2 linked regions of the Macaca fascicularis genome follow. The main gene of each other region encodes a partner of the protein of the gene in region 2 in a complex. Links are inferred from orthologs where the notes say so. Each region holds a gene or a part of one and is shown on either strand. Other genes may lie near its edges. The genes, in order: HNRNPH2 and ARVCF.

Region 1 (3,930 bases), on a different chromosome or scaffold from region 2:
TGTAAGCCTACTTCTTTTTTAACATACAAAGGTGCCTTCTAGTTTGTGATGAAATACAAAGGATTATTTATTCGCTTTCACTTCTTTGGATTTTAGAGAATACTATCTTGGTAAGTGGCTCCAAAAGTAGCTCAATAGTCCTGTAGACATGGTAAGTTTTTTTAAAAAAGAAGAAAATGTTCAACTTTAATATTAATCAAAAAAATACAAATTAAAATTGCAATGAGATATCATTTCTCAACTAACAGACTGGCAAAGATCACAAAGAATAATGTGCATCAATAAGGAGGGCATAAGGGGGAAAATAAAGCACACACTCCAGGTAAAAAGATAAAGTACCAGAATCTTGCTGGTAACACAAATCAGAAGCCTTAAAAATGAGTATATCTTTGACTCAGCAATCCCATTTCTAGGGATATATCTTAGAAATAATTAATAATATATGCAACAATGAACATATAAAGATGCTAAATATATTGTTTATAATTTTAAAATTAAAAATTTTAATTTTGAGGGAATTATAAAGTCAATCAGCGTGCCCATATGACAGAACATAATAAAAATCAATCAGCACAAGATTTTTTCCAGTTTTTAAAAGGAAGATTTATTTAACAAGTTTCACTTAGTACAATACATCTAAATGGAAATCACAATACAAGGAAAGATTTAAACCAAAGCCTCAGAATTTCATACAAACAACACGACCAAACTTCTAAAGTATTGGTATTACATCTTAAAATTGTCCCGTATCCTTAAAAAAAAAAAAAAAAAAAAAAAAAAAAAAAAAAAAAAAAAAAAGTGTACACTCACGTGCCTTACAGGATATTAAACCAAAAAGCTAGAATTAACAAACATGCCAAATGTTTTCACTTTGAATCGTAGACACAGCTCCTATATTTGAGTTTTACAGAAAAGCATGTTTCTCAACATGCATCCGAAGTTTTCAATGTATTTGTGGTATAAGAGCAACATTTAACATAAGTGAAACTGCATTAACCTAAATACGCTTACTGCTTAGGTACACTCCTACAACATAACTAACTTGAGGAAAGCTAAAAATTGTTTTAACAGTTATGGTCAATACTGAACTTTGTTATTATGTCCTAGATGAATGTTTCAGTGTTCAAAATTACTGAGCTTGAAGTTTTAAAATAATCTCAACTTCCACTTTACAGTAAGCATGAATCACAAGCCTGTAATGCAAAACTGTTAAACTTAACTCTTGTTTTCTTAAAAAAGGAGAAAGAAAGATAAAGAAAGAGAAGCTGACCAAGAGTGATCAGAATCAATTATATTTCCCATTTACCAATCATACTGGATATACTAGACATCCCTCCCATTCTATTCAACTCCCACAAATGTACAGCTTTTATATATGGAGTAGCTGTTTGGTGCTCCTTCTCTACCTAAGCAAGGTTTGACTGATAGTCACTGGAATTTTCCTGCAGAACTTGGTCATATCCACTCATACTGCTCTGACCACCATAACCACCTCCATAACCACCACTCAGCTGCTGGCTAGCAGGACCTCCATAACTAGACTGGTTGGATAAGCCCATCCCTCCCATCATTTGGCTACCATAAGCCCCACCACTTGCCCCTGCTGTAGAATTCAAAAAAAGTTCTACATAGCTGTGATCGTAAGCACCCCCACTTGTTCCTGCAGTAGAATTTAAGAAGAGCTCCACATATCTATGTTGCATATTAGCTTTGTCTTTTGCCATAGCTGCCACAGCATCTTCATGAGTAGCAAATTCAACATCTGCCTCACCAGTAACTCTGCCATCGGGTCCAATTTCAATATGTACTCTCATGGGATTAAGAGGTGAGAAGAAATTATAAATATCATTCTCAGTGGCTCTGTAAGGTAACCCCCTCATGTGTACACAGTGCCCTGTGGTGCTCTGGAAACTGGACCCACCATCTCCATATCTATGATCAGACATTCCTGAAAAACAGTAATTGAGGTCTCTTCCAAATCTATCAGACCCAAAGCCATATCCATCATTATAGCCACCATAGTCATCATAGCCTCCATACCCTCCACCGTAGGCACCACGCCTCATCCTTTCAAACCCAGCTCCTCTGCCAATGCTATTATACCCTCTGCCAGCCCCCGGCCTATCATAGGGACCTGGCCGCTGCATAGCCATGAGCTTTCGAGGGGGATCATAGTGGGTTCGAACTTCAGCTCGGCTACTCTTGAAGATCTCAATGTACCTGTGCCCTATTCTTTCCTTGTGTTTCTTTAAGGCCTTCTCAGCTATCTCCTGCGAAGCAAACTGCACAAAGGCTTCCCCTGTGCTTCGCCCCTGAAAGTCCACTGGCAGTGTCATCCCATTTGGCACAATTTCCAACCCTGAAAAGAACTGAACAATCTCTTCCTTGCTACAGCCAAATGGGAGTCCTCTAAGCCGGACGAAGCCATCGTTGGCAGTATCAGGGCTATTCGGACCTGTATGCTTCAACACCCAATCCATTTCAACACTGTTAGACTTGAATACTTCAACGTATCTGTGTCCCATGGTTTCTCTGTCCTTCTTCAAAGCCAATTTCACTTCCTCTTCAGATTCAAGTTCAACAAATGCTTCACCACTTGGTCTGCCTTCTCTGGTGTAGATGAAACGAATACCTGATGTGCCATTTTGGATCTTGCAATCAGAGAAGAAGCGCATCACTTCATCGGCTGAGCAGGACCAGGGTAGGCCCCTGACCTTCACCACGAACCCCTCCCTGCCTTCCGTGCTCAGCATCATGGTGACTGTTGGGCTCTTGGTGGCAAGTTTGGCTCAATGCAATTTTAGTGTAGCTGAAAAAAAAAATTAGAAGACTACTGTCATGGAAAAATGCCCGTGATATAGTAAGATAAAAAAGCAAACTATTAATAGAAAATTCAACTATGCTGACAGCTTTTCTGTAAGATGTCTGTATAAACAAAGAGTTCACCAAATTTTTAACTCATTCATTTTTTAAGTTATTTATTCAATGCCTATTACATGTTGGATACCATTAAAAATTAATAGCAATCGGCCGGGTGTGGTGGCTCACGCCTGTAATCCCAGCACTTTGGGAGGCTGAGGCGGGTGTACCACCTGAGGTCAGTAGTACCACCTGAGGTCAGGCGGGTGTACCACCTAGAGGTCAGAGACCAGCCTGGCCAACATGGTGAAACCCTGTCTCTACTAAAAATACAAAAAATTGGCTGGGCGTGGTGGCAGGCGCCTGTAATCCCAGCTACTCGGGAGGCTGAGGCAGGAAAACCACTTTTATGTACCCAGGAGGTGGAGGTGAGCCAAGATCACGCCACTGCACTCCAGCATGGGCCACCAGAGCGAAACTAAGTCTCAAAAAATAAATAAATAAATAAAATAACATCAACAAATCAGTGGGATAGGTCAACAAATAAAAGATGGCTATATCTGAATATACACACATAAAAAACTTCACTAGATCAAAAGATTAAACAAAACATTAAAATACAAACAAAACACAGGTTATATACGTTCTTTATATAATCTCCTTATATACAAATGTATGCAAATCAATAAAATCAGGGAAATATTTGGGCTTCAGAGATAAATGAAAAAAAGACATTATTGGGAATTCACACATTCATTTTAGAAATATTTTTTAGTTGCCATGTCCAATACTCAGCTCTGGCATACAAGAATCAATAAGCCCAGAAAGGGCTTATGATCCTACAGGAGCACCAAATATCATTATTAAAGATGTAAATGCAAATATACATTATACTTGCCATGACCCTCTGGGTGGGGTATAAGCATAGTATCAAGGAGGGACTAGTTGATCAGTTCTATTGGTTGGAGGTCAAATGGTTAAATGAAACAGACTAACCTGCCCAGGGATCCATAAACGATTTTTTAAAATTATGATAAAGCACAAATAGGAGAGGGAAAAGCAAGAGAAAAG
Region 2 (4,609 bases):
GCTCCACAGGATGACAGCTACCTGGCTTGTGAGGGCCCCTATTCTAGGGACAGATATTTCATTCTGCCCTCCCAGAGCAGCAAGCAACAACCCTATGCCAGGAGGCCAATTGGCACATGAAGTGCCAGCTCCAATCGATTGATAGTAGCTGCCTGGCTCTGAAAGGTAGCTGAGATCGATTCACCATGCTGCCAGCACACAGATGGACCCAGCGGTGGCTCCAGCAGTGAGTCCTTGCCTTGGGCCATTTCATTTTCTTTGTCCTGGCCAAGGAATGATTGGGTGAACACACGGGACTCCCAATATGGGTGGAAAAGACAAGAGTGTCTGGTCACACCCCTCCACCACCCATGAGCATGGTTGTGGGCAGTTTGCTTCCCCAGGTGGCCTTGGGGAATGCAATGAGCTGAGGAACTGGTCATGTCCAGGTGCATCCAGGGCAGGAAAGGCTGACAGCATGCATGAGCCAGGGTCACTGGCCAAGAAGTCATCTCAGGACCTCCCCCTAGAAAAGCCCACTGAGCAGCATTCCTGCTGGTTCCCCCCACACCACAAGGTTACGCGGAGCTGGCGGAGAGTCATGCTCCCACTCATGTCAGGTACTCTCAATCTGGAGAGGAAATGCAACCATGCCAATCTCAACAGGCAGCGAAGCCGCGTTTCTTTCTGACTCCAGGTAAGGTGGAGAAAATGGGACAGCAGTACGGGGGCATAAACGCACAACTCCACTTCCCCAGACGGAGAGCTGTGGGGCTGTGAGGATGCCAGGAGGAGGTAATAAAGGCGGCCCCATGGGGGACCTGAAAGGTGGGACAAGCCTAAGAGGTCTCCACATCCAGGCCTGGTGGGGGAGGTGAGCCCCTGGTTTACAGAAGGGGTCCCTTCCTGCTCTCGGAAATACGGCAGCCTACCTCCACCGCCGCCCCGCTCCGGGGGCCCAGGGGCGGTGAGGGTGAGAGAGTCCCCAGGCCCCAGGGTCAGACGACTGTGTTCAAGCAAGTCAGAACCTCTCTGAGGCTGTTTCCCAACTATAAAATGGGATAGTGGCAGAACTCTCCCTCGCGGTTTGCGTGAGGAATACAATTCGATGTCGACAGGAAGGCGCGGCGTGCACCGCGCAGCGCACAGCGAGTAGCAGGCGCTGAAGAAGGATACCTGTGAACTGGGGGTGGTAATGGAGGCTACGCGGCCGGAATCCGGGGAAGGGCCGCCGGCCCTACCAGTCCCTGCTCGGGGCTGGATGGTCGGGGGATGTTCTCGTAACTCGGCTGGGAGGAAACTGCCCCGCTTACCCGGCCACTACCACCGCAGAGGTTCGGGCAGGTGCCGCGGCCTCGGCCCCTCCGCGAGGGGGCCGGTCAGCCGCCGGGACTGACATCCCGAAGGCCCAATGGAAAGCCGTCATCTCCACGCACCCGTCCAATCGGCGCCGGTTGCCGTGCCGCGCCGGGTCTCTCGACCAATGGGGAAATTTGCGGTCAGATGGGGCGGGGCGGAGTTCCGCGTCGCCGGCCCGGTCCGCTTTGCACACGGGCCGCGTGAGGGCGAGAGGGCTGGCCCGGGGTCTCGGGTTGCTTGCTGGGTCCGGAGGGAGGGGGCGGCCCCCGCACCGGCCCGACTTGCGGCCCAGTGGACGGCGACCCGCGCCGCGCCCCGCCCTGGGAACGCCGCACCCCGCGCGCCGAGGGACCCGGGGACGCCCTTCTGGGGTCTGGGGCCGCGCTGCGGAGCCGCCCACGCTGCGCAGCCACCCACGCTGCGCTCCAGGTAAGCTTGAGCCAGTGGGCGGGGTGCGGGACCTGGGGCTGGGGCAGCGGGTCTGAGCCGGGACTGGGGGCGGGGCTGCAGATCTGGGACGCGTTCCGGGCAGCGGTCCGGACTGGGTCTTGTACCCGGAGTCGAGATTAGGGCGAGGGTCTGGGCCGGGCTTCGGAGCCAATCTCCGCCCCACCCGCGTCTTGTCCGTGCGCTCTGCGGCGCCGGAGACCTCGGGCCGGGGGAGGGGGCGGGTCCCTTTGTGCGCGGTCTCCGAGCCCTACTCGACCCGGCCGGGTGCCTTGCATCGAGCTCTCCAGCTGAGCGTGGCCCGACCCCGCAGCCGTGTCCGCCCCGCGCGACGCTTGGCGCCTAGCTGCCGGGGCCCTGCGGCCACGGAAACTTTCCAACGGCCCGAGGGGCGGCAGGCCGGGAACTTTCCTGGGGCAGCGCGCCGCCGGGAAGCGCAGGGGCACCGACGGCCCGGAGGGATATCCCCGCGCCGCGCTGCTCCTGCCGCCTCGGGGGTGAGCGAGGGCACGCCACCTGGATTCCCGGCCTGGGTCTCCCTCCCCACGTCGCCCTGCGCCCCCTCGGGGCCCGTGCAGAGCATGTCTTCTACACTCTGAGGGAACCTCTGCTCGGTTTGCTGGGGAGTCGCCCTGGGCAGATGGCGTGAGATCTCCAGCCTATTTTAATTTTTAAATAATTAAATATTGGCTGCTTATAAAATTTCACCGTTTGTTAGCTATGTGTAACGTAGCATACTTAAAATGGAACCAAAGGACTTCAGCTCCCTTTCCCTACACCCAGGCATATTTAGAAATAAGGAAAATAAAGGTGCTCTGTGGGTGTTTTTTAAAGTAGGCTCTTAATGCTGCTGTCTAATAACCTCAGGTGGGTACCCACGCCGCTGTGGGGGAAGCCTCCTCTATGGTATGGGCCAGCGGGGTGCAGTGGGAGCCTCCACCTCTCCTGACCTTAGCTTCTCTGGGGTAGCTGCCTTTACTTCTTACTACTTCCTTACTACTGCCTTATCTGCCTTTGCTCTGGGATCCAGGCTGTGGTTAGAGATCTGGTCCAAACAGGGCGGGTGTTACCTGTCTTGTACTCACTGTATTGGAGTTGAGATGGTGCTGAATGCAGGGGCCAGTCAGCGCTCTCTTGCCCAGTGTGCCATGCCAGTGGCCAGTCAGTTCCTGAGCAGGTGATCCAGGCCTTAGGTCAGGCCACAGTGTGAACCACAGCGTGTCTGGGAAGGCATTTCCTCCAGTCTTGCCCCATCCTATCCACAATGTCTGCTCCCAACTGTCTCCTGACCCCACCCTACCCCCATTCTGGGGTCCACCAGGGCCCAGCAGAGAGGACTGGGCACAGAACATTCGCTAAGGGACTCAAGTCCCAGCTGAGAGGGTAGTTGAGCACAGCCAAGCCAGCCCCTGCCCAGCTCTTGGCTGAGCTGCCCTGTCAGACTTTTCTGCATAAACACAAGAACCTCCTGACCAAGGTCCCTCCTGGGAGAACAAGGTCTGACCCTCAGTCCTGCTAAATTTGAGCCTCCCCACCCACCACATCTGGGCTGCTTGGCTCCCGTGTTTGCTCTGGCACCCCTTCCAGAGGTGGCTCTGCAGTGTCCTCCCAGCCCCAGGGGCCCTCTGCATCTCTGTGGCTCTGTGAGCGTAGGGTAGCACCCCTCCTCCTGTTTGTGCTACTAGGGATTCAGGGTGAGTTCACTGTCACCCCAGGAGTCTGGCCTGGGGGAGCGTGAGGCTGTCCGGAGTGAGTACAGGAGGAGCAGGAGCAGCAGGATCCCCAGTCTCTGGGAGGAGCAGGGAGCTCTGCGCATGGATGCCAGGCACCACCCTCTGTCTAGCCCATCTGTCGTGTTCCCCACCTGGCCCTGGCAGAGGGAGTGACAGGGTTGAATTGGGATAGGGAGTCAGGGCCCACTCTGTAGATGGGGCCAGGAATGGAGGGTGGGAGTCTAGGGACAGCACTGTAGAGCACCAGGTGGGCCCTGGGGGTCCTGGGGACTTCCCTGATGGTGGCTTAGTCGTGGGGAGGTGTCTGTTCTTTTGCCACTAGCTTCAATTAAGACCAGGATGAGGCCGGTCGTGGTGGCTCACGCCTGTAATCCCAACACTTTGGGAGGCCAAGGCAGGCGGATCACCTGAGATCAAGAGTTAGATACGAGCCTGGCCAACATGGCAAAACCCTGTCTCTACTAAAAATACAAAAATTAGCCGGGCATGGTGGCATGTGCCTGTAGTCCCAGCTACTTGGGAGGCTGATGCAGAATTGCTTGAACCAGGGAGGTGAGGGTTACAGTGAGCCGAGATCACACCACTCTTCTCCAGCCTAGGTGATAGAGCGAGACTCTGTCTCAAAATAAAAACAAAAACAAAAACAAAGCAAAACCGAAAAAACCAGGATGGACTGGTCACGGTGGCTCACGCCTATAATCCCAACACTTTGGGAGGCCAAGGCAGGCAGACAGATCACATGAGGTCGGGAGTTTGAGACCAGCCTGGCCAATATGGTGAAACCCGGTTTCTACTAAAAATACAAAAAAATTAGCTGGGCCTGGTGGCACACGCCTGTAATCCCAGCTGCTGGGGAGACTGAGGCAGGAGGATTGCCTGAACCCGGGAGGCAGAGGTTGCAGTGAGCCAAGATTGTACCATCGCACTCCAGCCTGGGTGACAGGGCGAGACTTCGTCTCAAAAAAAAAAAAAAAAAAAAAAAAGCCAGAAAAGGCCGGGCACGGTGGCTCAAGCCTGTAATCCCAGCACTTTGGGAGGCCGAGACGGGTGGATCACGAGGTCAGGAGATCGAGACCATCCTGGCTAACACG

What was found.
Region 1: ARVCF (region 2) and HNRNPH2 share a complex: the UniProt entries of both Homo sapiens proteins name them as parts of the ribonucleoprotein complex. The link is inferred for Macaca fascicularis from reciprocal best matches to the Homo sapiens genes ARVCF and HNRNPH2.

Annotation. Positions count from the first base shown.
Region 1 is NC_088395.1:108,081,255-108,085,184, reverse strand, and holds the end of HNRNPH2 (heterogeneous nuclear ribonucleoprotein H2), read right to left. Parts: intron 2,810-3,930; 5' UTR 2,757-2,809; coding exon 1,407-2,756; 3' UTR 579-1,406; downstream 1-578. UniProt on the Homo sapiens protein: This protein is a component of the heterogeneous nuclear ribonucleoprotein (hnRNP) complexes which provide the substrate for the processing events that pre-mRNAs undergo before becoming functional, translatable mRNAs in the cytoplasm. Binds poly(RG).
Region 2 is NC_088384.1:32,806,987-32,811,595, forward strand, and holds the start of ARVCF (splicing regulator ARVCF), read left to right. Parts: upstream 1-1,525; 5' UTR 1,526-1,767; intron 1,768-4,609. UniProt on the Homo sapiens protein: Contributes to the regulation of alternative splicing of pre-mRNAs.